7 linked regions of the Macaca fascicularis genome follow. The protein of the gene in region 1 interacts with the protein of each later gene in a pairwise test. Links are inferred from orthologs where the notes say so. Each region holds a gene or a part of one and is shown in the gene's direction. Other genes may lie near its edges. The genes, in order: TRIM54, FAM110A, TSHZ3, FAM161A, OTUB2, ARHGEF5 and KLHL38.

What was found.
Region 2: the proteins of TRIM54 (region 1) and FAM110A interact in binary tests that used the Homo sapiens proteins (3 or more experiments, as listed by UniProt). The two-hybrid records come from large-scale screens. The link is inferred for Macaca fascicularis from reciprocal best matches to the Homo sapiens genes TRIM54 and FAM110A.
Region 3: the proteins of TRIM54 (region 1) and TSHZ3 interact in binary tests that used the Homo sapiens proteins (3 or more experiments, as listed by UniProt). The two-hybrid records come from large-scale screens. The link is inferred for Macaca fascicularis from reciprocal best matches to the Homo sapiens genes TRIM54 and TSHZ3.
Region 4: the proteins of TRIM54 (region 1) and FAM161A interact in binary tests that used the Homo sapiens proteins (3 or more experiments, as listed by UniProt). The two-hybrid records come from large-scale screens. The link is inferred for Macaca fascicularis from reciprocal best matches to the Homo sapiens genes TRIM54 and FAM161A.
Region 5: the proteins of TRIM54 (region 1) and OTUB2 interact in binary tests that used the Homo sapiens proteins (3 or more experiments, as listed by UniProt). The two-hybrid records come from large-scale screens. The link is inferred for Macaca fascicularis from reciprocal best matches to the Homo sapiens genes TRIM54 and OTUB2.
Region 6: the proteins of TRIM54 (region 1) and ARHGEF5 interact in binary tests that used the Homo sapiens proteins (3 or more experiments, as listed by UniProt). The two-hybrid records come from large-scale screens. The link is inferred for Macaca fascicularis from reciprocal best matches to the Homo sapiens genes TRIM54 and ARHGEF5.
Region 7: the proteins of TRIM54 (region 1) and KLHL38 interact in binary tests that used the Homo sapiens proteins (3 or more experiments, as listed by UniProt). The two-hybrid records come from large-scale screens. The link is inferred for Macaca fascicularis from reciprocal best matches to the Homo sapiens genes TRIM54 and KLHL38.

The regions. Positions count from the first base shown.
Region 1 is NC_088387.1:94,913,896-94,917,534, reverse strand, and holds part of TRIM54 (tripartite motif-containing protein 54), read left to right. Parts: intron 1-2,316; coding exon 2,317-2,412; intron 2,413-2,942; coding exon 2,943-3,176; intron 3,177-3,437; coding exon 3,438-3,460; intron 3,461-3,571; coding exon 3,572-3,639. UniProt on the Homo sapiens protein: May bind and stabilize microtubules during myotubes formation.
Region 2 is NC_088384.1:86,552,375-86,556,692, reverse strand, and holds the start of FAM110A (protein FAM110A), read left to right. Parts: upstream 1-1,518; 5' UTR 1,519-1,755; intron 1,756-4,318.
Region 3 is NC_088393.1:38,616,016-38,620,454, reverse strand, and holds the start of TSHZ3 (teashirt homolog 3), read left to right. Parts: upstream 1-1,542; 5' UTR 1,543-1,683; coding exon 1,684-1,723; intron 1,724-4,439. Other genes in the region: uncharacterized protein, read right to left, coding at 427-1,542. UniProt on the Homo sapiens protein: Transcriptional regulator involved in developmental processes. Functions in association with APBB1, SET and HDAC factors as a transcriptional repressor, that inhibits the expression of CASP4.
Region 4 is NC_088387.1:60,064,993-60,069,144, forward strand, and holds the start of FAM161A (protein FAM161A), read left to right. Parts: upstream 1-1,294; 5' UTR 1,295-1,313; coding exon 1,314-1,496; exon of another isoform or gene 1,497-4,152. UniProt on the Homo sapiens protein: Involved in ciliogenesis.
Region 5 is NC_088381.1:162,041,061-162,045,231, forward strand, and holds the start of OTUB2 (ubiquitin thioesterase OTUB2), read left to right. Parts: upstream 1-1,315; 5' UTR 1,316-1,513; coding exon 1,514-1,516; intron 1,517-4,171. UniProt on the Homo sapiens protein: Hydrolase that can remove conjugated ubiquitin from proteins in vitro and may therefore play an important regulatory role at the level of protein turnover by preventing degradation.
Region 6 is NC_088377.1:186,023,167-186,026,805, forward strand, and holds part of ARHGEF5 (rho guanine nucleotide exchange factor 5), read left to right. Parts: coding exon 1-134; intron 135-1,576; coding exon 1,577-1,647; intron 1,648-3,233; coding exon 3,234-3,338; intron 3,339-3,639. UniProt on the Homo sapiens protein: Guanine nucleotide exchange factor which activates Rho GTPases. Strongly activates RHOA. Also strongly activates RHOB, weakly activates RHOC and RHOG and shows no effect on RHOD, RHOV, RHOQ or RAC1.
Region 7 is NC_088382.1:133,286,691-133,290,873, reverse strand, and holds the start of KLHL38 (kelch-like protein 38), read left to right. Parts: upstream 1-1,329; 5' UTR 1,330-1,459; coding exon 1,460-1,545; intron 1,546-2,201; coding exon 2,202-3,552; intron 3,553-4,183.

The DNA.
Region 1 (3,639 bases):
GCCAACGTGGTGAAACCCTGTCTCTACCAAAGATACCAAAAATTAGCTGGGCGTGGTTGCAGGCCCTGTAATCCCAGCTACTCAGGAGGCTGAGGCAGGAGAATCGCTTGAACCTGGGAAGTGGAGGTTGCAGTGAGCTGAGATAACGTCATTGCACTCCAGCCTGGGCAACGGCAAAAAGTTCCGGAGACTGCTGGTTAAACAAGGATCCTAGGAGCTAAAGCAGTAAATTGCGCCACCTGGCTTTCAACAGAGGCAAATGCAAATACTGCCTGGAGGAGAATATGCTCAGTTTAGGCCTGTAGGTATTCCCTAGATTAATTAATATCAACAAAATATTGGCTCACAATTGAAGGTGCACAGAGAAACGTAATCCATGAGTGAAGTCAGCAGACATAAAAATTACAGATTTAGGACACCCCCCAAAAGGAACTGAGATATTGGAATTATTAAATAATTGGAAGTCACTATGAATCAAATGCTTTTTAAAACAAGATGAAAAATTTAAAAAACCAAACAATAATAGAATACCAAAAAACAACCATGTAGCTGGGTGTGGTGGCTCACGCCAGTAATCCCGACACTTTGGGAGGCTGAGGTGGGAGGATCACCTGAGCCCAGGAACTGGAGACCAGCCTGGGGAAATGTTGAAACCCCGTCTACAAAAAAAATGCAAAAAATTAGCTGGACGTGGTGGCATGCACCTGTAGTCCCAGCTACCTGGGAGGCTGAGGTGGGAGGATCACCTGAGCCTGGAAGGTCGAGGATGCAGTGAGCTGAGATTGAGCCACTGCACTCCAGCCTGGGAGACAGAGTGAGACCTTATCTCAAATATATATATATATAAAATATATATAACATATATAAAATATATTATATATATTATATATATATAAAATAGAACATTTAACAGATGGCTGGGCATGGTGGCTGGAACCTGTAAACCCAGTGACTAGGGAGGCTGAGGCAGGAGGATAAGGCCTGGAGTTTGAGACTAGCCTGGGTGACAGTGAGACCTCCATCTCTAAAAAAATTTTTTTTTTTTTTTGAGACGGAAGTCTCACTCTGTCATCCAGGCTGGAGTGCAGTGGCAGGATCTCGGCTCACTGCAAGCTCCGCCTCCTAGGTTCACACCATTCTCCTGCCTCAGCCTCTGGAGTAGCTGGGACTACAGGTGTCCACCACCACACCTGGCTAATTTTTTATATTTTTAGTAGAGACGGGTTTTCACTGTGTTAGCCAGGATGGTCTTGATCTCCTGACCTCGTGTTGGCCTCCCATAGTGCTGAGATTATAGGTGTGAGCCACTGCACCCGGCCTAAAAAATTTTTTTGTTGTAATTAGTTGGGAGTGGTGTCATGTGCCTGTAATCCCAGCTACTCGGGAGGCTGAAGCAGGAGGATCGCCTGAGTGCAGGAGTTCGAGGATCCAGTGAACAATGATCATACTACTGCACTCCAGCCTGAGTGACAGAGTGAGACTGTCTCTTACAAAAAAAAAAATTCGGCCGGGCGAAGTGGCTCACACCTGTAATTCCAGCACTTTGGGTGGCTGAGGCAGGCGAATCACAAGGTCAGGAGATCAAGACCATTCTGGCTAACACGGTGAAACCCTGTCTCTACTAAAAATACAAAAAATCAGCCGGGTGTGGTGGCGGGTGCCTGTAGTCCTAGCTACTCTGGAGGCTGAGGCAGGAGAATGGCGAGAACCCAGGAGGCGGAGCTTGCAGTGAGCTGAGATCACGCAACTGCACTCCAGCCTGGGTGACAGCAAGAATTCGTCTCAAAAAAAAAAAAAACTCAACAGGTGAATTAAATGATAGATTTGTCTGAAAACAGAACTAGTGAATAGCATGAGAGGACTAAAAGAAAAACAGAATGTGCAGTTCTAGGAGATGAGAAGGCTGAGAGTGAGAAGGTCTAACAGGTCTAATCAGATTCCCAGAATGAGAGGATAAAGAGAATAGAGAAAAGGCAATATTATGCAGATGGATAATCGTGAAGAATTTCTCAGAATTTATGCAGGAAACGAATCTACAGATAAAGCATCTAGCCCAGTGCCTACTATCTGGTGGATGTTTGGAGACTGTCTGTTCCTTCCCCACTTAGTGGTGGAGGGCTTCTCTCCACCTCCTTCCAGAATCCCTAGAATGTGCTTTTGTACCTTTTGATGGTTCAAACCTTCTAGATTGCTGTAGATGCCCTCATGGGGGGTGGGGTGGAGGGGCCAGCCCTCTCCTAGGCAACCCTGGCTGGGGTGAGGGGTATAGCTCTAGGTGAGGTCCCAGCTCTAAGTGCTAACCTGTGTGTGTATCAGAGTGAGCTCAGCGATGGCATCGCGATGCTAGTGGCAGGCAATGACCGTGTGCAAGCAGTCATCACGCAGATGGAGGAGGTGTGCCAGACCATTGAGGTGAGCCTGGGCTGGAGGGCAGGGGGAACAGCAACTGGCTGGCCTGCGGACCCCGGGCTCCCAAGAGAACTGCTCCTCTCTGACCTCTGGCCAAACTGGTCCAAAAGTTTCTGGGGTCCTGGGAGTGGTGGGAGGTGCTTTTGCCAGGCTGCTGGGTGCTCATTCCAGCTTTTCCGCAAAACTTTAATCCAATTATTTAACTTCTCTGTGCTTTGGTTTTGTTTAACCTCATAAAACAGTGATGATGATAAATGGTACACCAGCTACCTCATGGGTTCTTTTTGAGAATTATATGGAATAATGCAAATAAAAACCAGGGCTAGGGATATAGACAACACTCAGTGAAGCTACTTTAAAGTATTGTGTTTTTATTATGGAAAAGATCTGGGCTGGATTCTGGCTCAGCCACTAACGCACAGTGTCACTATGGGTGGGTCACTTTCTGTGTTGGTTCTCTGTGAGTATCCTGTGCTTTCCCAGCCACCGGGTCTCAGCCACGCCTTCCCTCATCCTTGCTCCCCATCTTTTAGGACAATAGCCGGAGGCAGAAGCAGTTGTTAAACCAGAGGTTTGAGAGCCTGTGCGCAGTGCTGGAGGAGCGCAAGGGCGAGCTGCTGCAGGCGCTGGCCCGGGAGCAAGAGGAGAAGCTGCAGCGCGTCCGCGGCCTCATCCGTCAGTATGGCGACCACCTGGAGGCCTCCTCTAAGCTGGTGGAGTCCGCCATTCAGTCCATGGAAGAGCCACAGATGGCGCTCTACCTCCAGGTGGGCCCTAGGGGAGGGTAGCAGTGCCGCACAGTGGCTAGAGTCGGGGCCTTGGTACCTGGAGACCCAGGTTCAAGTCTTGTCTCTTGCACCTGTTTGCCACTACGACCGTGGGCAAGTCACCCCCTCTGAGTTCATTTTCTACTTAACGATTGGGATGTGCCTTCCCACCTACCCCACAGGACTGTGGTGAGACTCAGAAATGGGACTTTGCCCGGGTTGGCCCGGTGCTTACTCTCACCCTCCTTTTCTTCCCTGCAGCAGGCCAAGGAGCTGATCAATAAGTGAGTAGGCACAGCGGGAAGGGAAAGGAGGGGGCTGGGCTGCTCCACTGGCTGGGGGCGGGGCTTGAGGGTGCTGGGGCATTGCCAGCTGAGTCCGTGTGGCCACCGCAGGGTCGGGGCCATGTCGAAGGTGGAGCTGGCAGGGCGGCCGGAGCCAGGCTATGAGAGCATGGAGCAAT
Region 2 (4,318 bases), on another chromosome or scaffold:
GACATGGTGATGCGCGCCTGTAGTCCTAGTTACTCTGGAGGCTGAGGTGGGAGGATTGCTTCAACCTAGGATACAGTGAGCTGTGGTTGCACCACTGCACTCCACCTTGGGCAACAGATCTAGACCCTGTCTCTAAAAAACATAAATAAATCAATATTTAATACTTAGCATTTCCCCCTATCTTTAAATCTCTTTTAGCTACTTCACTTTTATTTTTATTTTTTTGAGATGATCTGTTGCCCAGGTTGGGGTGCAGTGGCATGATCTCAGCTCACTGCATCCCCCACATCCCAGGTTCAATCTATTCTCCTGCCTCATCCTCCCGAGTAGCTGGGATTACAGGCTTGTAGCACCACGCCTGGGTAATTTTTGTATTTTTAGTAGAGACAAGGTTTCACTATGTTGGCCAGGCTGGTCTTCAACTCCTGACTTCAGGTGATTTGATCGCCTCAGCCTCCCAAAGTGCTGGGATTACAGGCGTGAGCCACTGCTCCTGGTGGCTGCTTCATTTTTAATGGCTGCATAATATTCCTCATCAGAAAGTGGGAATAATTAGGCTAGTCGGCGTGGCTCATGCCTGTAATTCTAGAACTTTGGAAGGCTGAGTTGGTAGGATTACTTGAGTCCAGGAGTTTAAGACCAGTCTGGGCAACATGGCAAAACCCTGTCTCTACAAAAAATACAGAAAATACCGGGTGTGGTAGTGCACACCTGTAGTCCCAGCTACTCGGGAGGCTGAGGTGGGAAGATTGCTTGACCCCAGGAGACTGAGGCTGCTGTAAGCTGAGATCCCACCACTGCACTCCAGCCAGGGTGACTCCATCTCAAAAAAAAAAAAAAAGGAAAGAAAAAAAGAAAGTGTTAATAATTAAAAGTACTTTTAGAGGGTTATGTCATAAGCCTTGACAAGAGTTGTTCTGTAAAGCTACCTGGCATGTAAAACGCTCAATTAAGTTAGTTAGCTCTTCCACAGGATGGAATTATATAACCAACCCCTTTCAAGAGGCATTTAAGTTGTTTCCATTATTTTGTCATGATGAATAAGGCTGAGCAATATTAATCTTTGCTCATATCTTTGGTCATTTCCTTTGTAAATTTCAGGACTGCTGGGTGTGCACATTTTAAAATTAACTCACTCATCATCATGCAGTTAGGAGAACAGAGAAAGGAAGGGGCTGTGCGGGGTCACATAGGGAGTTAGCGTCAAAGTCAGGACTAGGAATCAACCAGGGTCCTCTAACTGGAGCTCTTCCAGCTGGTGCCCTAGAGGAAGTCCCAGCTGCAAGCCGGAGGGAGGAGGAAGGGAAAGAACCAGGCGCCGGGTCTGAAGCGGCGGCAGGAAGAAGGTGGGGCCGGTTGGGAGGTGGGGGCGGAGCTGCTGAGCCGCGCCGCTCCTTCAGGCTGCAGAAGCTAAGCGGTCGCCTGGCAACCCCGGCGGCGCGCCGTTCGAACGGAAGCGAGGAACCAATCAGGAAGTCCGGGTCGAACCATTCTGGAGTGAAGGGGGGCGGGGTGCTCACTTCCCCTTTCTCGGCGCTCGAGGGACTTTCCCTGCGGTGGGGGCCTTCGACAGTCAGGGCCACCCGCTCAGCTCGACTGCGGAGGGCAGTTCCGAAGGGGACCCCAAAGGTGCCCACGCGGGGCTGGGGCCTCCTGGGCGCCGTTGGGAGCGGTCACTACCAGCCCGGGTCCGAGCTGTCAGCCTCTCCGAAGACTGCGCGGAAGGAGCCGGGACACGCCTAGGACGAGCTCCAGGTGAGGGCGCGGGTGGTTCCGGGTGCGACCCGGGGTCTGGGGGACTCTGTTCCCCGAGCGCCTGCTGTCTGCTTTCTCCCCGCGTCGTACCTGCGTGTCATTTCACAGATGAGGACTCTGAGGTTCAGAGAGGCAAGTGTCCTGGCTCGGCGAGCTCTGGCAGAGAATCCAGTTCAAGGCTTTCCGCCCTACCTCGCAGCCCCTAGTCTAGTCGTATCTAGACTTGCCTTGAGAGGTACAGACGGGCAACTAGTAGTCATTTTCCCAGCATTTTATCGGCAGGGACACGGCCTATGGACCCCTGGCTGGATCACCTATCCCTGCGCCCCACACTGTCCTCGGGATACCCCTTTTGGGCGTCTTTCTTCTCCGCAGTCCGGGGTTGGACTCGGCTCATTTGGCGCCCTTCTGCCTACTGGGCTCTGAACTCCAGAGCTCCCCCTCTCAGAGGACCACTCTTTAGCCATCGGATGGCACTGACATTTCTGGGCTGGATATAGGGGCAGCAGATTCTCCAGCCCCCAGAGTCGCTGCTGGCCTCTTGGGAATCTTCCCCGGTCTGGGGAAGGGAATAAAGCCAGTCCCTGAACCAAAGCCACTAGTCACCAGAGACTTTGGAATTGGGGGTGGGGCCGGGATTCCCTCAGGAGGAGCATCTGATCTAGGCCAGATCCTGCTCTGTCTCCTGGGGACACCCCTTGCCCCCTAGGTTGCTATTGTCAGTCTCCTTTTGTAGGTGGGGAAACTGAGGTTCTAAGAAGTTAAGCCTCTTGTCGAAGTCCCAGTCAGACAATGCAGTGGTTATTAGCTCCTGGTCCCTCTGGCTTCAATCTTAGAATCCTTGACACCCAGAGTCATGCATTTTGAGAGTCTTGAATCTCTTCATAAGGGAGTTACATATCTCCTCTCCTCTGGAGCCTCCCCCTGGCTTTGGGGACAGGATCTCCGAACACTCAGAAAACAAGCCTTTCCTTTATTCTTTCAACAAATATTATTGACTTCATAAGCCTTGCTCTTGTTCTTGCATGTTTTGTTTTTCTCAGTAGCATTTACTCCACCTTATGTCCTATATATTTTACTTATTAGCAAATTTATCACCTTCTCCCACTGTGATGCAAGGCAGGGGCTGAGGCAATTGAGGTCCTCACCACCAGTGCAAAATTTAGGGATGCCCTGAACCTCAGTAATCAAGATAACTGAAACTAATGTTCATGGACCATTTGTATGTTCTGCAGGCAGGAGGTTAACTCACACAGCCTTCATGAAGCACAGTCCTCCCATCTCATTCTCTCTCTCTCTCTCTATATATATGTGTGTGTGTATGTGTGTGTGTGTATATATATATGCATATTTATAAATCGTGAAACCACTGCCCTGTCCCTGACTTGCTCTGTGACATTGAGTAAGTTTCTTCAGTCTCTGGGCTGAGCTAAGAAGTCATGATGGTGCACTCAGGCCTGGGCAGAGGGCGGTCTAGGATAGGAAGCAGACTTGGTTGTGGATTACAAATACATCCCCCAGACTCAGCTGTCCCACTTCTAAGCAAAATGATGTAGATGCAGTGATGCTGCAGTGTGGTTTGTAGGCAGAAATGAGACACACTCTAAGTGGCCACCAGTAGGGGATGATGGGAAATTCTACTGTGCAGCTGGGAAAAAGGACATGCTCTTTATGTACTGATGTGGCACCAAGAACAAAACATACTATTGAGCAAAAAGAACAAGATGAAAATGGTACACATAGCATCATGACGCCATATGTGTAACAATGGAGACAGAATATATATTCATACTTGCCTGCATCTGCCTAAAGTCTCTCAGGAAGGATAAGCAACTGTCTGGTCACGATGGTGCCTGCAGGGAGGAGAAATGGGGACAGGGTGGGAGGAGGTTGTTGTTGTTTTTTTTTTTTAAACTTCACTATCTTTACCGTTTTTGAATTTTGAGTTGTGTGCATGTATCATCTATTTTAAAAATTTAAAAATTAAGGCCAGGTGCGGTGGCTCACGCCTGTAATCTCAGCACTTTGGGAGGCCAAGGCGGGTGGATCACTTGAGGTCAGGAGTTTCAGACCAGCCTGGCCAACGTGGTGAAACCTCATCTTTACTAAAAAATACAAAAATTAGCCGGATGTGGTGGCACGAGCCTATAATCCCAGCTACTTGGGAGGCTGAGGCAGGAGAATCACTTAAACCTGGGAGGTGGAGGTTGCGGTGATCCCGGTGCACTCCAGCCTGGGTGACAACAGGAAAACTCTGTCTAAAAAATAAAATTACATATATATATGTGTGTGTGTGTGTATGTATGTATGTGTGTGTGTATATATATATATATATATATATATATATATGCATGTTTATAAATCATGAGACCACTGCCCTGTCCCTGACTTGCTCTGTGACACTAAGTTTCTTCAGTCTCTGGGCTGAGCTAAGAAGTCATGATGGTGTACTCAGGCCTGGGCAGAGGGCGGTCTAGGATAGGAAGTGGGCTTGGCTATGGATCTGCCTCCCACTCACCTTTCTAATCCTGCGTGCCAGGTCCTTCCCCAAGACCTTGCATGT
Region 3 (4,439 bases), on another chromosome or scaffold:
GGCCCCGCCGCGGCCGCCCCATTCCCGGCCTGAGAGCTGGCCCAGGGAGACACAATCGAGCCCGCAGCGCATCGATGCGCCGCCGCCCGCGCCGCTCCGGCTCCGGCTCCCGCTCCGCCGCCGCCGCCCGGGGGTCGCCCGCATGAGCTCAGGCCCACCCGCGCCCTCGCCGCCGCCCGTAAGTGAGCCCGCGTAGCCCTACCGCCCACGCCGCCCGGCCAGCTCCTCCTCCCCGCGGACCGCCGGCCGGGCCCTCCCGGAGCCTCAGCGACCCCGATCACCAATCAATAATCAATCCCTCTAGTCCAGCAGCGCCGGCAGGCCGGGCGCGGGACAGGGCGCGGCGGCCCCCCCGGCTCTCGGGGGTGAGCCCCGGGGGGGGATGGGCAGGGGAGCCCGATTTCCTTCTCCCGCCCCCGTCCCGCCCTAGGATCGGCCCGCGCCGTGGATGGGGGGCGCGGCTCGGCTCCCAGGGGGCGAGGGGCTGAGTGGAGAGACCCTGATCATCCCAAAGTCAGGAGAGGAAACTTGAAGGAACCCCCTCCCACATCGACCCCCGGGACGGGCCCAGGAAAGTTTGTCCGGGGAAAAAAAATTGGGGGAAGTGGCAGCGGCGGGTCCTGGGGGAGGAGCTGGGTGGCGCGGGGTCTGAAGGCTGCCGCCACCCGCCCCGGCCCGCGCCCGCCTCCTCCCTGGAGGGGGCCCGCCTGTGGGCTCTGGCATCCCCGGGGGGCGCCAGCCCCGGCCAGCGCTGGGGGCTCCGCAGTCCGCGGGTGGAGAGGAGTGCGGGCCGGGCGGGGCAACTGGGGGGTGGCCGGGGACGAACGCTGGGTGGGAATAGGGGTGGGGGGTAACGGGCGCCCCGGGACGGGCTCGGCGGGGCTGGCGCCGCGCCCCTGCGTGTGCGCACGGGGCGGAGGCGGAGGGGCGGCACCCCTTTTGCTGGCGGGGCGGGGGTCCCAGGCGGGCCTGGGGCCGGGGGGTGGGGGCGCGGCGCCCCCGCGAGCGGGCGAGTGACACGATCATCTCCTTTTCCTTTAAGCTTGCCTGTTGCCGACGCCGCCGCTCCAGCCGCGCCGCGGGCAGAAGACTGGACCGCCGAGCCCCAGGCCGCGGCGGCGGCTGCGCGTCCCCCCGGATGCCGTGACCCCCGGCCTGGGGGCGGGGGCCGGGGCAGTACCGGCCCGGGCCGCTCCCGCGCTCCTCCTCCCACCCCTCTGCCCGCCCTCTCCCCCTCTCCCCGCCCCCCAGCCCCGAACCCCGCGCACCTCGTCTGGGGACGGGGCGGGGGGGGGCAGGGCCGCCGCTCCTCCCCGCCCCCTCCTCCTCCGGCCTCTGGAGCGATTTGTCAAACTTCCCATTCCGCCGGCAGCGCGGTCCTCCTCCTCCTCCTCCACCTCCTCCTCCTCTGCCTCCTCCTCCCCCCCGCGCTCCTCCCTCCCCGAGCCTCCCTCGCCCGCCCTCCTTCTTCCCTCCGCACGTTCGGGGTTCGCGGCGGAGCGCGGCGCGGGGGGGACGCGGAGAGCCTGGGCGCAGCAGCATCCTGCGGGCGGCCGCTCTCCGGGGGGGAGGCTGAGAGCAGGCCCGCCTCGCCCCCCCGCGGGCCCGCCGCCCCTCCCTCCCTGTCCTCAGCCCGGCAGCGGCGGCGGCGGCGGCGGCAGTGGCAGTCGCCGGAGAAGCATCATGCCGAGGAGGAAGCAGCAGGCGCCCCGGCGCGCAGCAGGTACGAGCCGCTTCCCCTTCCTTCTGCTCTCCTCCTCTTCCTCCGCTCGCCCCGCGCCTCCAGCGGGCGCGACCCCGCTCCTCGCCCCGCTCCTCTGCCCGCGCTGAGTAACTCCGGGTGCAGCTCTCCTGTTTGGGTGCGTGCGCCCGCCTCGGGTACCGGGCGCCCCCCGGACGCCCCGCCGCGCTCTGCCCTCTTCCCTCTCGCACCCACTTGGGGAGCCGCTTGCTGGGCGCGCTGAGCCGCGCCAGGTCCCTGCCTCCTGAGCTCTCCGGCTCCAGAGGGGATGGGAAGCAACCCCGGTCTGGCTTTTTCTGTGGGGGGCGGGCGGGGTCACCTGAGTTCCCCGGGACACCTTCCGCGTCCTGCGGGCGGCCGACCGGCGGGAGACTGCCCGGTGTCCGCCGAGCCAGGGAGCGCGAGCGAGTGAACGAGCCAGTCCCCTTGGCCACCTTAGTGCTAATCCGATTGATTCCTCATTTCTTGGGCCCAAACTGGGCACAGCGGTGGAAACCGGAGCGCACAGGGTCTGGGTATTGTCAGATGACTGTCAAGTCCATGTTAGATGCTGGCGTTTCCTTCTCCCCTGTTTGTGTTTCCTTGCCCCCACCCCCTCCTTGTACTGCTGCTCCCACCCTCATCTCCGCATAGCACTTAGTTCTGGGACGTGTGTGAGTACTTTTTTGTTCCTCCTTTTTTTTTTTTTTTTTTTTTCTTTCTTCAACCGGGAGTGTCAACTCCTGTTAAGACTGAGCCGATTTTTTTTCTTTTCTTTTCTGGAAAACGCATCACTGAAAACAAAACAAAAACCACACACATAACATTATTTTGCAATAATGTCGGTTGGGGGCATGTTGCCTGGAAGAAGGGTTTCTGGCCCGTTGCCATCCTTGATTTGATGACTGATTGATCGCCCGTCATGCTGCTGCCTTTGATCTATTCATTCCCAATAAACATCAATAAATCACTTGGAATAGTGAGGCCAAGCTCTGTGACGTCAGGAGGGGCCTGTCAGTGCAACTTTGGGATTTGGGGCGAATTGCCGAGAGGACCACATATGGACGTGATGTATTTTGATATGAGTAACACTCAGATGTGCAGAGTTCAGATGCTCCCTGAAGGGGAGGGTTAAGTGGGGCTTCCTTTCTTCTGTTTCCTCTTCCTTTCTTTTACTTCTCTTTTGATGTTAGAGGAAAGGGCAGAGAGTAGGGTCAGGGCATTGGCTGGTGCCCATCTTGGATGAAGGCGTTGTACCCATCGTGCCCATAATTTCCATCACGCCAGCCGGCACTGCCAGGGGACCTCACACGTTGGCTGCACTCTGCACTCCAGACCCCTTACACGGGGTCACAGAGAAGGAATGATAATTCTCTCTTCTTCCAGAAATGTACTTGCCTGCCAGTGTCTTCAGAAAATCTCAGAAGAAAACAGGGTTGGTTTGGGGCTTAGGATGCAGGTTTTGTTCTCTGTCCTCTGTGTTGCCCAAATTTAGAAAGTTTGAAAATTCCAGGAGTGATTGTAGGGAGCTTGCCGCCTCCCTAGTTAACCTCCTGGAGCTTGCTTCTTGCCCGTCCCACCTTCTACTTTAAATTCCAGGCTCAAGCAATGAGCTTATCTACCCAAAATAAACTCTGAAACTTTGGAGGAATCCTTCACAAAGTTGAGTAGTAGGAATGTCTTGGGCTTCTTCCAGTCTTTGAAAATTTTTTTTTTCTTTCCTTTTTGGATACACATTTTAAGGTATGTGTGTGCCTCCATCCAATGAACCATATGTGATTACATCTTTACATTTGGTTCAGAACTCTCTCTCTAGTTCATCTCTTCAGTTGCACCCTGCCAATCTGAGACTCATATTTGATAGCTTCCTCCAGAAAAATATCAGAGGAGGAGGGAACCTGCTGTTGGCTTTATTTATTTATTTATTTTTAGAGCAACCTGTTCACTAACCTTTCTGCACTTTTTTTTTTTATTATTAAAAAAGAAAGCCAGCCAGGAAATCTCAGGTCAGTTAAGAAAAATTCATTATATAAAAAACTTGACTGCAGGACTAATAGGAGATGGAAGAATGGTTTTGCTCTATCAAAATGACCCGTCAAAACGACTTTGTTTCATATTTGATTTAATTGTCTCTCTCCTGACAGGCACATTCATCAATAGCTTAATGGTCAATCAGAAGCTGGCAGCATGAGTGCTTTCTTTCTTTCCCATACTCGGGTTTTGGATTTACTTTATCAGAATGCCTCTGCCTAATGGACATGTGGAGGAGGGGGTGGAGGCTGACTGAAGAGCTGCTTATTTAAGAAGAGTGGAGAAAAAAAAAAAAAAAAAAAACTCCACATTTAGGCTGGTGATAAGTATGCACAGAGGTTTTTTTGGTTGGTTTGTTTGTTTGGATGGACAAGAAACTTCCCATTTTTTTTCTCCTCTTTTTCAGTTCTCCCAGCTGCAAGTTATAAGGTTCATGCCAGCTTTTGTGGCATACTGGGAGTGATGACAAATTGATTGCTTTGTACTGATAGAGAGAGAGAGAGTGGGAAAAAGAAAGATGTCTGCTGATTGGTAACTGGAAATCCAGTCCCCAGCAACCTTGAGAATACTCGAGAATTTTTTTTCCCCTCCAAACTGAAAGGTCCGCTCAGCCATAAAAAAAGAAAAGTTGTTTTGCCAGCTTCATTAGTGTTCACCTAATTAGCTGTAAACCTGATGGATTCCTGAC
Region 4 (4,152 bases), about 35 Mb from region 1:
TTGTAGCCACAAAACTGGCTGCCGTGACTGACTGGAAATTGCTCCCCTGGACACTTGGCCATACCTGGCGGTCCATATCCCATGGTTCTAGCTCTGGCTTCTGCTTAGAACCCAGCCAGCATCTGTTCCAGCACTGGAAGGAACTGTTTAGCCAAAACAAAGAGCAGCCTGAAGGAAGTGGGGACGTGGGAGACTTTGCTGGTGCTCACACCCATACAGGAGAACAAAGGTTTGGTAAGGGCTCAGACCTTAGAGATGGATTCTCGACGATGTGCAACGCATAACGAGGAAAATACTGACCGGAGGGGGCCTGTCCTAGGGCTGGGGAGCGGGAGGAGGGCAAAGGATAGAGAGGGGTAGATAGGGAGGGAGTAGATAGGGAGCGGCAGCCTCGGCCTCAGTAAGCAGGGGCTTATGGAGCAGATGCCTGAGACTGCACCACGTCCGCTATTTTGAGGTTTGGCTTCTCTTACGACCACGTGGTGCAGAGGGAAGGCGCCATTTGATGCGTCCAAATCCCGAGTGGAAAGAGAAGATACGGATGAGGGAGATGGGTGTGTCTGTGATGACTCTTGGGCACTCGCGCCGTTCAATCCTGTCACTCTCAAGCTGATGAACCCAAAGCAAACGCCAGGTTTACACTACCTGCACCCTCACTCATTAGTGGGAGGGTCAGGCACCACCCAACTCTGGGCTTTTATTGGTCAGGCCAAGAAAAACGCGAGAGGGACAACCGGGAGCCTCCTTCTGATTGGTGGATTCCTACTAGCCCTCAAGTAAATCAGAGTAGAATGCACCTCCCTCCTTCCCACGCTGGCTCCCGCGGGAGACATGTTAGGTAGCGCGACGCCAACCTTGCCACTCTTCAGAGGCCGCCACCCAGTAATACGCCCTGCTTTCCTCCTCCGCCGCCGTCTCCTCCATCAACCGTCTCCTTCTAACATATTATTGCAGTTAATAAAAAAGCGCTCTTTTCTTCACAAAAGCAGTTGTTTCATTGTATAATGTGAGAAGTCTGCGTTCAGGCGGTTAAACGCAAAGGAGAGGAAAAGTGCCCTGTTCAGCCTGCCAACCTTTGGAACCAGCAAACAGACTCGGTACTGACCGCCATGATCCAGTAAGCACCCGACTCGGGTCTCTGGCAGCCTGAGAGGAGTTTGTGTGACTTTTGGTCCCTGGCGGCTCCTGTAGTGTCCCCAGTTACGGCGCCCATAGCAACCGGCTCCCTAGCTAGGAGCCCCCGGGTCGCCAGGGACCGCACCAGCTTTCCCGCCCCGGGCCAGCGCAGGCGCTCAGGTCCCGGAGGCGGGGCGATGGCCGCCTCCCACCGAGCGGCAAAGCTGGTGGCCTCCAGTCTCCAGACTCCTGTAAATCCCATCACTAGAGCGCGGGTCGCCCAGTACGAACGCGAAGACCCCTTACAGGCCCTGGCGGCAGCAGAGGCGATCTTGGAGGACGAAGAGGAGGAGAAAGTGGCGCAGTCCGCTGAGGCGTCGGTAATACTGGGGCGGGACGTGGGTTGGGACCTCGCACGGGCTGGGTGCTGGCTGAGGGCTGTCCGGGTCCCCGCCCAGCTGAGGGCAGGCTGGTAAACGCGGGACCCTGTGCACATACTCCCTACTTGGTGGTCCTGGCCCAGCCCCTTCTCTACGCTCACGAAAAATACTCTAAATCGAGGCGTTGAAAAGTGTTTTAATTTTCACCAGAGAGTCAGTTGTAAAAGTTTCCTAGACAACATTTATGTTACTCTGTTTCTGGCGAGTGCAAAGTATAGAATTTTACTCTTTACTCTCTAGCATCTCGGGAATGGATGGATAGATAGATAGATTTTATAATTTGAGGAAAACTGTTCTGTCAGGTGTGTTTCGTTATTACCTTAAGATCTTGGTTATAAGTGGATCTCAACATAATGCTGGAGAGAGGCGTGTTTAAAACCATCACGTGTTCACTGGCTAAATCAGACACGGATACAGATAAGCAAATCACTGAGGTTTCAGTGTTTCCTAAACGGCTCCTTAGGGTACAGCGAGACAGCCTTTTCACTGATCAGTTTTCAGTGTTAAATCTGTTGTGGACACCAGTCTAGCAGGTGGAGGGCAGGGTCTGCCATCTGCTCTATTCACTTAAAAGATGGGAATCTTGGCTGGGCGCGGTGGCTCGTGCCTGTAATCCCAGCACTTTGGGATGCCGAGGCAGGCAGATTACGAGGTCGGGAGTTCGAGACCAGCCTGACCAACATGGTGAAACCCCGTCTTTACTAAAAATACAAAATTTAGCCGGGCATGGTGATGCGCGCCTGTAATCCCAGTTACTCGCAAGACTGAGGCAGGAGAATTGCTTGAATTTGGGAGGCGAGGGTTGCAGTGAGCTGAGATCTCAGACCCAGTCTCAAAAAAAAAAAAAAAAAAAAAAAAAAAAAAAAAGGAATCTTGAATTTAAACTAGCAATCTGCAGATAGAAAAAGTTTCTTTTTTTTTTTTTTTTTTTGAGACGGAGTCTCGCTCTGCCGCCCAGGCTGGAGTGCAGTGGCCGGATCTCAGCTCACTGCAAGCTCCGCCTCCCGGGTTTACGCCATTCTCCTGCCTCAGCCTCCCGAGTAGCTGGGACTACAGGCGCCCGCCACCTCGCCCGGCTAGTTTTTTGTATTTTTTAGTAGAGACGGGGTTTCACCGTGTTAGCCAGGATGGTCTCGATCTCCCGACCTCGTGATCCGCCCGTCTCGGCCTCCCAAAGTGCTGGGATTACAGGCTTGAGCCACCGCGCCCGGCCAGAAAAAGTTTCTTAATACCATGTGTCCAAAGCTTCTCAAACACAAAACTTATGATTGAGGACTAATTGAAATCCCTGGATATTTTGGAATTCTAATCTCTTTAATCTACCATAAAATTGTTAATGAGAGCATCTTTAGCAACACCTTTTGTGACCAGTCTTTCTCCAGTAAACAACTTGAAGTTATCCAGAGTAAGGTAGACTGAGACCCTGAATGTGAACCAGGATCAGAGTGCTAGGACTGATTTTGTTCATTATAACCTACCCCTCAACACAGTTTTCAGTAGGCAACAAGGCAGCGTGATGGAGAAAAACTATTTAAGAGTTACATATTAGGATCCATTCCCTGCCACTCCCTAGGTGGTGTTAGGACACACTTTCTTTAAATCTCGGTTTCCTCATCTGTAAAATAACTATAATAATTGTCTCTTTTTCCCATCTCAGCTCTATGAGAACCAAATGAAAGAATGTGTGTCTCCTCTAAAGAGCAATCTATATAAAAGAGTAATCTATATAAACGAGATGCCAGTGGGAGTGTCATTTGTGTGCCTTCCCAAAGATTAAACTACTTTGGCTTGCTGTGGGAAAGGAGTCAGTCACTTCTAAGTTGCAGATATGCTTCCAAAGTGCCCTGTTAAACTACAAATTTTTTTTTTTTTTTTTTTTTTTTTTTGAGACGGAGTATTGCTCTGTAGCCCGGGCTGGAGTGCAGTGGCCGGATCTCAGCTCACTGCAAGCTCCGCCTCCCGGGTTTACGCCATTCTCCTGCCTCAGCCTCCGGAGTAGCTGGGACTACAGGCGCCCGCCACCTCGCCCGGCTAATTTTTTGTATTTTTAGTAGAGACGGGGTTTCACGGTGTTAGCCAGGATGGTCTCGATCTCCTGACCTCGTGATCCGCCCGTCTCGGCCTCCCAAAGTGCTGGGATTACAGGCTTGAGCCACCGCGCCCGGCAACTGCAAATTTGTGTTAGAAACTGTTATTACCTTAGGAGGGATCAGTTTATACAATAATCTAGTATGGAAAGGACAGGATCCTACAAAAAACAGAAGGAATCCAAGTCTTAAGAATCTGATACTGTTCTGAGACCACCACACATGAGGGATCTAAAAGTAAAGCTGGGTAAGCTGCCACAGTGGGTCTGATAGCCAGGCGCACAGGGCTTGGGGAAGAGGCATTAAAAAGGCAGGAAGAGTGCAGGAAAGAGGCTCTGATTTCTTCACTGGTTGGCTTGGGTCTCCATCTTGATTTCTTTTTTTTTTTTTTTTTGAGACGGAGTCTCGCTCTGTCGCCCAGGCTGGAGTGCAGTGGCCGGGCGCGGTGGCTCCATCTTGATTTCTAAAGGTTAATTTGCCTTAACCTTATCATCTATAAAATGTAGTAA
Region 5 (4,171 bases), on another chromosome or scaffold:
TGAGCACTGGCTGGGGAGTCAGAAGTCTGGGGATCCAGCCCAGCCAGGCCACTTCTTAGCTCAGCAGCACTGGGCTGCTCCTGTCACCTCCCTGGCTTTCTTGGCTGTAAAAAACAAAGAGGAGAAACCCCCTGAAAACAAACGGGGGTCAGGGTGGGGGCAGGTAACACAGCCCCTGTAGTCACGTGCAGAGTGAATTGGAAACCAGCTCTGGAGTCACACTGCCTGGGACTGAATCCCACTTGAGTGCTATGTGACTTACGCAAGGAACTTAAACTCTCTGTAATGTTTCCTCATCTGTGAAATAGGGATAATAATAACAGGACCTACCCCCATAAACCAGTTGTGAGGAAATTAAGCAAGATACTTCTGTATATGTGGAGGGTTCAGGATAGCACCTGATACATAGTAGGTGTTCTGCATAACTGTATAAATAACTGTAAAAAGTTAGATGCTATTGTTACTGCTCCTTGAGCCTCCATTGACCCCACACTCCCTACCCAGGTCATGATACATGCTTGGAAGACTCAGATGTCTGTATGCCCAGAGCCTAGCCTCGTGCCTGGGACTTACAGAGTAAGAGTTGTGGCGGGGGGGAGGGGCGGGGCAGCAGCAGGAAGGGGAATTGCTCAATACACACTCCTGGAAATATTAATATTGTGAAGTGGATGCATGCAATGCACTGAGCCCCCCTTCCCTACAAACTCTCCCTACTACACCCAAAGCAGCTCCTCCAGGACTCAAGGGCTGGTGAATGAATCTTTGAATGATAAATATTCCTATTTTGATGTCCATTAATAATGAGCTTGTGGGCAAGATGAGTCATCTAGACATGGTTCACGGATATCCCTACAATTCCAGAGCCACAGAGTCAACGATCCTGGACATTCATTCATTCAACAAACATTAACTGGGTGCGTGGCAACCTACTGATTCATGAGTTAGAAGAGGGTAAAATATTATGTAGAAGCCATACTTAATGTTATTGGACACGTGTTCCCTAAGCGCCTATCCTCTGATCTTGTGCAAACTATACTTATGTGACCTTGTTTATGAATTAATGAGGGCCAGCTAATCCTTCAGAAGACTCCAATTTTAGGTTTGCGCAAAAGCCCTTCAGCCTTTGCAAACGAGGACCTGTCTTTCTGGGTTGAGCTAACTCCTCTGCTAGTTAAAAGCTTTCTGTGTCTTTAAAAAGGGGAGGCATCCTGTCAAATGGTCCCTAAAGCATAGGCTGAAGGCGCGTGAAGTCCCACCCACTTTCTATGACGTCCTGCATCCCGGCTCCTGATTGCCCGCCTGAGACGTCAATTGCGGGGCGTGTGTCTTCCTGGGACACAGTGGAGGTCTAACCTTTGGTTTGCGGAGTGGTCGGGTGTATTCTCCGCCGCCCCCACGCCCTCGAGGTCCCCGCCACCGAACCAGCGGCGGAGCCCGCCCGCGCCTCCCGCGGCACTCCCGCACCGGATCGCTCCTCGCTGGGGCGGGACCTGGCCTGGCGGCTCCGGTCACTATGGTCAGTGATCGTGGGGGATCGCGAACGGGGAGCGGGCAGGGGGCGCGGTGGGCGGGGTCGCTGTCGGAGCGGGTGCACCTGCGGGACGGGGGTTGGACGCGAGGCTCAGCCCCCAGACCACCCCCGCCGCGTTCCGAACCCCTGAAATACGGAGTCCGGACGGATACTGGGGGCCAGGTCGCGCCCCGCTGTCCCCCGTGGACGTGCAGCTGAGGAGGTCCAGCTCGGCCCCGAGTCCCCGCCCCCAGCGTGTCCGCCCCAGTTGGCCCTGGGCGCCGCCTCGACGGCGCTGGGTGGGCGCCCTCGACGGAAGCAGGGACAGGGAGGCTGCAGCGCTATGGGTCGCCTCCTCTTTGTTAAGTAGCCCCCCAGTCAGCAGTCCACGGCCCCTCCCACCCGAGGGCTCAGCCGTCAAAGACCAACCCACTCCTGGCCCCTGCCCCAACCCCACGAGGGGATCTAGGAGTTGCACAGGGGACCAGATCGTCTGTCCCTGCGGGCGACTAGTCCGTCTCCATTTTTGGAGTCGGGACCCACGTGGAGAGGTTGCCTTAAGTTGTGAGGCACATGAGTTAGGGGTCGGGGAAAAGAAAATACTCAGGAATCCCTGATGGAGAGTCCTGTCTGCACAGAACGGGGCCCAGAGACCCTCTGAGCCAGGCTAACCCTGGGCTTGGGCAGGTGGGGAAACTGAGGTCAGACAGGGAAGGGCTGGTACTGATAGTGGTGGTCCTGGGACTTGAACCCAGGCCTCTGGACTCTCAGTTCAGTACTCTTTGTGTTACATCAGCTCACCTTCCAGGTTGCCATGGGGTCAGGCATCCTGCAGGGGACTGGGTGGGATGGCTGCCTAAGACCCTTCAGCCCTGAGCAGGGGGGAGCCTGTGGAGTGAGGGCTGAGTGGCTTGAGTCGGGGCCACACAGCCCCAGGTTCAAGTCTCACTTCCACCTCCTGGAAAGCAAAGAGGCTTTGGTTGGTCCACTCTCCCCCTCAGCACCGTTTTGCACATCTGTAATGGGCTGCTGTGAGAACCATGTGAGATGATTAGCTGGAGCTTTTCCTGTGACAACAGAGTCCTGGAAATGGGTGTGCACAGATGCCTGGTTCTTCAAGCTTAGCCTCCTCTCTCCTATGACTGGGCAGGAAAATGGGTCACCGCAGCAGGATGCTGCCAGGCTGGGGCATGGGTCAAAGCCTGGTCATGGCCTGGCATGATCTGGGTGTGGCATAGGCAGCCAGGGCACTCGAGCTGGGACTGTCCTTGCCAAGCCAGCTTGGGGCGTAGCTGGGGGCCTCTGGGGCATCTGGAAGCACCAGCTTCCTGCTTCCACTTGGTGCCCAAGGGTTTACCTGGTTGAGCTGCTCCTGGAAGGCAGCCCAGGTGTTTCTGCATCACCCACCAGGGAGGGATGGAGCTGGGGTAATGATGGGCTTAGCCACCCGGGAGCTGGAGGCTGGCATGCCCTCTGGCCACCACTCGGCAGCTGAGAGCACAGCAGAGGCGGTAGCCGCTCTTTGTGCCATGCAGTGAGGCCGCTCACTCTGCCCCCTATGTGCCCTAACTCAGGAGACTGGAAGTTAGAGGGCAGGTGGGGTCCAAAGCCCTCACACCTCACCGGGGGCTTGAGTGCCTTGGCAATGGATGAAGTGATTAACCCACTAAAATAGGATGTCTGTCTGGGAATCACAGGGGTGGAGGCAGTGCAGGGTCTGTCTGTTCCCTTCCCTTCACGTGGCATTTATTGAGCACCTACTGCATGTGGGGACCATACTGGGCCCTATACTGCATGGTGGGTTTTTATGTTGAACCTGCATTGTGTGGATGGTGGTGAGTGTGTGTGTGTGACAGAAGGAATATCCTTGGAAAATACAGCATCTTCTTTGCTTTCCTGTTTCTACATCACTGGGCTAAGCTTGAGGAAGGGCCCCCCGTGGAAGACACAAAGCCCCTTGGGAAGGTAGGGGTGAGACAAGGACCAGGCCTCTGGCAGGGAGTGCAAATAGCGAGGAGTCTCATGCACTCAAGGTGCATTTCATGTTTGGCGAATGAATGAATCAGACATAAGCAGGAAAACCACAGGGGCCTATTGTGCTTTGTTCTGTTATTTGTCAAACAGGTCCCCAGTGGGCGCCTTTGTCAGGCCTGTGCTGGGCACTGTGACACTAATGAGAAAGACAAGGTGCCCGCCCGCTCTAGGACCTCACTGCCTGCTGGCCAAGACAGCTGGACACAAGCAGTGTCTGAGCTACAGGTCATGGCCTAAGAGGCCTAAGGACTTTGGGAGCACAGTGAGGGGTCAATATGCTCTGAGGGAGTGGGGGTGTTGGAAGGTTCTGCAGAGGAGGTCTTTTGAGCTGGGGGAGGTCTTTTGAGCTGAGTTGAAGGATGTATATGAGTGTTCAAGAAGGATTTGGGAAGGGTTCATTCCTTCTGGTGGGTGCGGGGGGAAAGTGGGCTATCAGGCTTTGAAGCATGGTCAAGAATGGGGAAAGGTAAACAGCCTCTGAAGATGCAAGGAGATTGAGGGAGGCAGGGAAATTGAGTCTGGAAAATTCGGTGGGATCAGGATGTTCTGTGCAGGGCCTCACTTGTGCTATGGGGTTTGGGTTTTATTCCACCAATAAGAGGGAAACCATAACATATTTTTGACAAG
Region 6 (3,639 bases), on another chromosome or scaffold:
GCTCCCTTCTCCTCCATTCGGGGGGAGAAGTGTGAAATGAAGCTACATGGACCTCACAAAAACCTGTTCCGACTCTTTCTGCGGCAGAGCACTCAGGGCGCCCAGGCCGAGTTCCTCTTCAGCACGGAGACTCAGTGAGACGGGGCTGGGCAGAGGAGTTGGGGATGGGGGAAGATGGGCAGCCTAGAAAAGAAGTGGCACCAAGACAGAAAATGTGTCCAGAAAACAGCCACGGCCTCGTTTAACCCATTCTGGACTGGGGACCACCATAGAGAAATCCAAACGCCTGGAACTAATGGATAACTTGCAGGAGATTGCGGTGGGAGAGGGTACAAAGTCACCACCGAGGCCTAGCATCTATTTTACACTCTTTACTCAAGAAGGACCAGGTCTGTGTGGTATCAGAAAGGAGAAGGACTGGTATGGAGTGAGCAAGGGATTGGAATACTGATATCTGTGGGCACCTGCCTCCATGCCTGAGGCAGAAGCCCTTCTATGCCCCAGCTGGTGCGCACAGATGTGAATAAGACAAGTGCCGGGTGACTTTCGCTTTCTGTGCTCCCATCTTCCAACCCAGTCCTCTGTTGACCAGAGATCCATAGTGTTGAGAATGCTTATTTGCTCATGTTTTCAATAATAATAAAATAAAATGCATTCACACAGACATACACTTTTGAGAGTATTAATAGGACCTATAAAATCTGGAACACAGTGCCTGCAATCATGAACATATAAAAGCCTGTAGCTGTTATTCCTATTATAAAAGATATATGAACAGTCGTTTAAAAGTTTGACATATCTAAGTGTTTGAGGATCCCTATGTTGTAGACACTTTTTCAGTTTTGTCCCTTGGAAGATACTTCAGAGTGGGACCGACAACACCTGTTCTCATTTATTGAACAGAAGGACTAGTATAGGAGTTTGTGTGCGAAATAGCACATAAGTCAAATAATCAGATGCAGATGCATGTTGTTGGTTTGCTGCTTTGAACGGTGTTCTGGAACAGTAATAGTGTCTGGGCTCAGTTACCTAGGCACAACTGAGCGCAGAGGCAAAGAGAATGTAAAAACCTTCAAATGATTACAAACTTAGGCTTGTATTACACTATGCAACAACAACAAATAAAATAGACATATCTCCCTGATCTAATTATTATTATGAAACAATGCTCATCTCTGAGATATTTGGTTGGAGGGAGATAGGCAAGGGAGTATCAAGAATCATGCAAAATGGTGGAGGGACTCTAAACTGAGATGGACGCTTCACTTAGCACAATTTCCAAAACAGAAAATCTATAGACTTTATGACTAACAGACTTTATGCCCCAACTTGGAAGATATGAGAAGCCCTAAGGAGGATAATTCTGGAAAGAGAAGAGGAAAAGTAAAGTGTGACAAGACACATTCACATATAGTTCAAGATTGTGTCATGTTTCCAACCAAAAGGAGTCCTATATAGTTTTGTGGTAGAAGTCGTGGAACTAATAAGTCCTTCCCACAGTCTTTTGCCATCCCCATCCTTGGCCCTCCTGCTACACCCCCACAGTTGACGCTATGACCCTGCTTTGTTTTCTCAGAAGTGAAAAGCTTCGGTGGATCTCAGCCTTGGCCATGCCAAGAGAAGAGTTGGACCTCCTGGAGTGTTATGGTGAGTGAGGGTCTAAGAGGGAGAGAAAAGCAAGCAGGGTCAGATGTCACCTTTGGATACAGGGGTTTAAAGGACTGGGTGGGAACTCTAGGCTTCCATTTATTGATATTCTGTAAAATGTCAGGGTGGAAGATTGGCCTCTAGAGCTTAAATGCCTGAAACGTATCGCCTAAAACTGCTCGTCACCATGGCAGTCCCCCTTCCCTATACACGCCCTTCCTTGGGCAATAGTTTGCTCTTTTTAAAAACATTTGTCCCCTTAAGTCTAAGCTGACATTACTTCGCCTAGATTTTAGCTGCTTGAAGGTCTTGTGAGGGTAGGGGAAGAAAGCCTGACGGTGGTGGGAGGTGTGCAGGAGGGTAGCACCCCAGATCTGTCTTGACCACACTTCTCCTAAGAGGGTGACCTGAGGTCACCTACCCCAGGCTTCTGGGTGCCCATGGGGAGCCGCAGGCGCACACATATTCTGTATGTGTCTGCGTTCACACCAAGACTGGACTTCTTATGCCTCTCATGCCAGCCCCACAGTTGTCCTCCAGCAAAGATTTCCTAATTTAAAAACAGAGAATCTGATCTCAACACTGGACCTTTGGTGACTGAAAAGAACAAACAACTACAAGGAACCCTGGGAATGAAGTAGGAGAGCCGTGTAGTAACTGAGCTCCGCTAACTTGCTCTCTGTGTGCTCCATCTGCTGGCTTCAGTTCCCCAGTGGGTGAGGAGGGCAGGAGCACTCTTCCTCCTTCATTTTGACCTTGCGAATGGCCAATGGGGAGGATCTTGAGAAAGCAAATAGTAATGCAGTATTCCGTTTGTTTTACAAGAGAATCAAGGCAGTGTGGTAACATAAAAGAGCCATAAACCCACATACGATGGAATACTGATAGGTGAAGCATTCTCTGAGGCTTGTTTTCTTGAGCTTCAGCTCTATGGACATGTCCCCTGGTTCTCAGAAACATAGAAATAGAGAAATCCTGAATGTTCTCAAGAGTCATCTGATCAACCTTGATCAATAACCATCTTGATCACTGATAGATGAGGAAACTGAAGCTCCAGGGCATTCAGTCTCTTGCTTAGGTCAGACCTGGGTCCCCACTGGTTAAGTCTTTCTTGGTTCCACATCTGGTTCCTGGAAGAAAATGAACAATAAGACACAGACTCAGATTTTATAATCCAGTTGGAGAGGCAAAACATGTCCATGTAGCAGTTAAATAAGGGATAAATGCCTTGGCATGAACAAGCAGTCTTAAGAGTTCAGAACCCATTGAAGATTAGAGTCAGGGAGGGTTTCAGAGGGAAGATGGGTCATTAGCTGGATCTCAGGTGTTCGAGATGAGGAACTAAAGGTGGTCACAATGTATTTCTCAACCCGTCTCCTCTGGAGAAGTGGAATTTTTGGTCCATTTCATTTCTGGTATGTCTATTTCTTTATTAACCATTTTCAAATTTCCTCTTTTGTCTGTGACTTTCAACAGCCCAAACCCGTCTCTATCTCAAGTCCTCCCACGCCACCCCCTGCAAGTCCCTGTCTGTGTTCCAATCCCCTGCGTCTCCTAACCTTTCTTCACACTCTTCTCTTCCAAAGACTCCCCCCAGGTACAGTGCCTTCGAGCCTACAAGCCCCGAGAGAACGACGAGTTGGCACTGGAGAAAGCCGACGTGGTGATGGTGACTCAGCAGAGCAATGATGGTAAGCGGGAGGACGTGTGAGCAGCAGGCCAGGCACTGCAGGAAGGGCAGCGCTGGGAATGTGTTCACTTCCCGCAGCTGCCGTAACAAAGTACCATGGACTGGGTGGCCTATGGCAACAGAAATGCATTCTTTCACAGTTCTGGAGGCAAGAAGTCCCAAATCAAGGTGTGGGCAGAGCCATGCACCTTTTGAAACCTCTAGGGAGGATCCTTCCATACCTTTTCTGGTCTGGTTGCCCCAGCTGTTCCTTGGCTTATGGCAGGATCTCTCTAGTCTCTGCCTCTGCCTTCCTGTGTCTG
Region 7 (4,183 bases), on another chromosome or scaffold:
GGTGTCCCAAAGACCAGGCCAGCCCAGCTTCCCCAACAGCGACCAGATGCATACAAACATCTGTAAGTGTCTCACGGAGCTAAACTACTACACATGAGTGGCAGTAGACGTGGTTCCAGAGGCAGACAGGACACCAGTCCGATTCCAGCTAAGGAGTCCTGCGGACATGGGGAGCCACTGAAGGGCCTGATGCTGAGAACTGGCAAATTCTGAGTTGCCTTCCCAGGGGCTGCTCCAGAGGGGACAGGGTGGATGTATTGGAGAGAGAAGCACTAGGAGCAAAGAAAAAAAAATGCATGGGAAGCCATTGCACTAGTCTGAGCAAGATTTTGAGTAGGAGACGAAGTCAGGCTTGCCTGCCTTTCGTGGCTAGGACAATCACGAATCTCCCTGAAGGCAGGGGCAGGACAGACCTGAGGTCCCCCTCACTCTTTCTCGTGATTCTGATTGTTATTGAAAGCTGCCTCCTACCACATCACTATCCTCATTCCTCCCCCAATTCTCTACCTCCTTCTCTTCCTCCTCCTCCTCTTCCTCCTCTATTCTCTCTCCCTCCCTCTGTCCCTGCTTCTTCTTCCTCCTCATCCCCCTTTGTCTTCTTTCTCTCTCTCCCTAAAGCAATATGGCTTGCCTCCTGCCTCTAGCTCAAGCTGCCAGACCAGACAAAATGGAAAAGTAAGACAGAAAAGGAAGTCTGAACTATAAAAAGCCAGCTGAAGAGCAATCAGCACGTGTCTGGGAGAGGCAGACGTGACAGGAGGAGCTCGGCCTTGCAACTGTCAATCAGAGGCTCCCGAGTAAGGAGACCCGACAAAGGTCTGGGCCTTCATGAGTCTGGAAACCCTGGGGTGCTCAACAAAAAAAAAACAACTCTTGTCATGGATTTCATCACCTAGGCTCCTGGAGGAGGAAATCACAGCTCTCCCCAGCAATCCTGCCAGGCAGATGGGGGGAAATAGGGATCCATTGAATAGCACCCACAGGCTCATGCTCCGGCTTCCCTTGTGACCACCTGCCACCTTCACTGTGGCCCAGAACCATCTTCAGTGACTCTCCACAGGTCACAGCAACCTGTTTACAGACAGCTAGAATTCCCAGGCACTTTTAGGACAGGGGACTCGGGATGGTTCCAAGCAGACAGCAAAGTCTTCTCTAACAGAAGCCACTCCTCCCAATCTATTTTTGCCGATGTAAACACTTGCCAAGGAAACACGGCATGTGGGCATGCGCGGGCCCTGCAGGCCCTCGGGTTGCTGCAAAAGGCAACTGGAAAGTCACATGTCATAACAGTGGAAAGTACATATGCAACTATTCTTAGCCCTGGAATGTATACACTGTCTCCTTGGCCAGCAGTCCTTGCACAAAGCTCTAGAAAACTATGAAAGTGCCTTCAGCATAAACAAATCCAGAAATCTCCCAGGACAAATCATTTGCCAACTGAAAGAAAGGCCTGGAGTTTATGGTTTCCCTCAGAGCTAGAGGTAGAAACTCTCCGGGGGGACAAGCCAGACCAGGCACCAGTGGATGTCACCGCGGCAAAACAAGGTAAGTATCCCTCATGCTTATTTCTTCTGCAGGTAGACAGCCAGGTGTCATCCAATAAACCAGGGGATTGTTTGGTCTTTCCTTCTATTTATTCCATCTTTAAAACAAGACTCAATGAAGTTATATTTAAAGATATGTATCAAAGGTCCATTTTCTTCCCTCATTTCTGTCCAGTGACCAGAGGGCCACACCTCCAGAGTGTCACCTTTGGGGAATGATTGACACCCAGAAAGAGATGTTTAGACAAGTTTACTCAATAACAGATATGCCATCGATCTGGAAAAAGGCTCAGGAACTTCTGCTGGCCAAATGCATGGACTGTTATCTTGCTTCAGACTAACATTTCAGCTTCTGATAATAGAGTAACTTCCAACAACTTTAGTTTGTTTGGTTGGTTGTTTCTCTCAGATTAGCTGAAGATACTATATGCCTATTACTTTCGAAAATAACCATAACCCAAAAGAGCTCAGGTCTGAGATGTATGTGGCCTTCCTTTCCAATCTTCCCTACACAATATCCGTGGCGACATCCACAAACATCATGGGGAATGGAATAGGAGCACTGGTCTTACAGTCCCCGCAGCTGAACCCTCCAGCGCCTGAGCTGAGAAAGACTTGACTCTTGCTGACTCTGGGGGCTTCCTTCCCTCTTTGTAGGATGGACGAGGAGTCTCCAGATGGGGTGCTCTTCAAAGATCATGACTTCTCTTCTGACTTGTTGAGGCAGCTCAACAGCTTAAGGCAAAGCAGGATCCTGACTGATGTGAGCATCTGTGCCGGTGCCCGGGAGATCCCCTGCCACCGCAACGTGCTGGCCTCCAGCAGCCCCTACTTCAGGGCTATGTTCTGCAGCAGCTTCCGGGAGAAGAGTGAAGCCAAAGTGCAGCTGAAAGGCATTGACCCCCCAACCCTGGACCAGATCGTCTCCTACGTGTACACGGGGGAGGCACTCATCGATGCTGACAATGTCCTCCCCGTAATGGAGGCCGCCTCCATGCTACAGTTCCCCAAGCTGTTTGAGGCCTGCTCCTCATACCTGCAGAGCCAGCTGGCCCCCAGCAACTGCCTGGGCATGATCAGACTCTCAGAAATCTTAAGCTGCGAGACCCTCAAGAAGAAAGCCAGGGAGGTGGCACTGACGTCCTTCCCAGAGGTGGCCGCATCAGCCGACCTGAAGGAGCTCTGTGCCTTGGAGTTGAGAGACTATCTGGGAGACGATGGGCTCTGTGGGGAGGAAGAAAAGGTGTTTGAGGCCCTCATGGTTTGGATCAAGCATGACCTCCAGGCCCGGAAGCGATACATGCAGGAACTGTTCAAGCAGGTCAGGCTGCAGTACATCCACCCAGCCTTCTTCCAACACTTCATCGCCAACGATGCCCTCCTGCAGTCCTCGCCTGCATGCCAGCTCATCTTGGAGACCGCCAAAAGACAGATGTTCTCTTTGTGTGGCACCAGCGCCCCAGACTGCAAACTCCTATTGCATGTCCCTCCAAGAAACTCTTACCAAGATTTCCTCATCCTCTTGGGCGGAAGGAAGGACAGCCAGCAGACCACCAGGGACGTCCTACTGTATAGCAAACAGACTGGCCAATGGCAGAGCCTTGCCAAACTCCCGACACGGCTGTACAAGGCCTCTGCTGTCACCTTGCACCGCAGCGTCTACGTGCTGGGGGGCATGGCTGTCAGCTCAGGGAGGAGTCTGGTCAGTCATAACGTCTACATCTTCTCCCTCAAACTCAACCAGTGGAGGCTGGGGGAGCCCATGCTGGTGGCCCGCTACTCCCACAGAAGCACTGCCCATAAGAACTTCATCTTCTCCATCGGGGGTATTGGAGAAGGGCAGGAGCTCATGGGCTCCATGGAAAGATATGACAGCATCTGCAATGTCTGGGAGAGTATGGCCAGCATGCCCGTGGGGGTGCTCCACCCCGCAGTCGCTGTGAAAGACCAAAGACTCTATCTCTTTGGAGGAGAGGACATCATGCAGAACCCTGTGCGCCTTATCCAGGTAAATGACTGGTTCTTCCCATCACATAACTGCATGAGTATGTGTGCATGGACACACCCACACCTGCATGCACACACATGCACATGCACACATATACACCAACACACACACATGTACATACATACATATACACAAATACACATATGTATACATGCACGCACATATATATGCACGAATGTATATTCATGCATACATACATACACGTATGCACATATGTATGCACATACCAACATGCATACATGTGCACATGTGTACACATATGCACACATGTATGCGCATACCAACAAGCATACATGTGCACATGCATACACACATACAATTCATGCACACATACACACATATATCTGCACATACATGCACACATTTATACATACACGTGAACACAAATACATACATGCACACACATGTGCACCCATGTACACTCATATAAACACTTGTCATTTGCAAGGAAAGAAGAGAGGAAGGGAGGGAGGCAAGAAGGATTTTCAGCAAGAGTTTAAGGATATCAAATGCCATCTCTATGCACAGAGTTTATCTTCATTTGAGGAGAAAAATACATATCTAAAAATTCAAGCTATTATAGAGAATATTGAATGCCAGATAGTGAAGTCCTACAGGAATTTGGCAGACG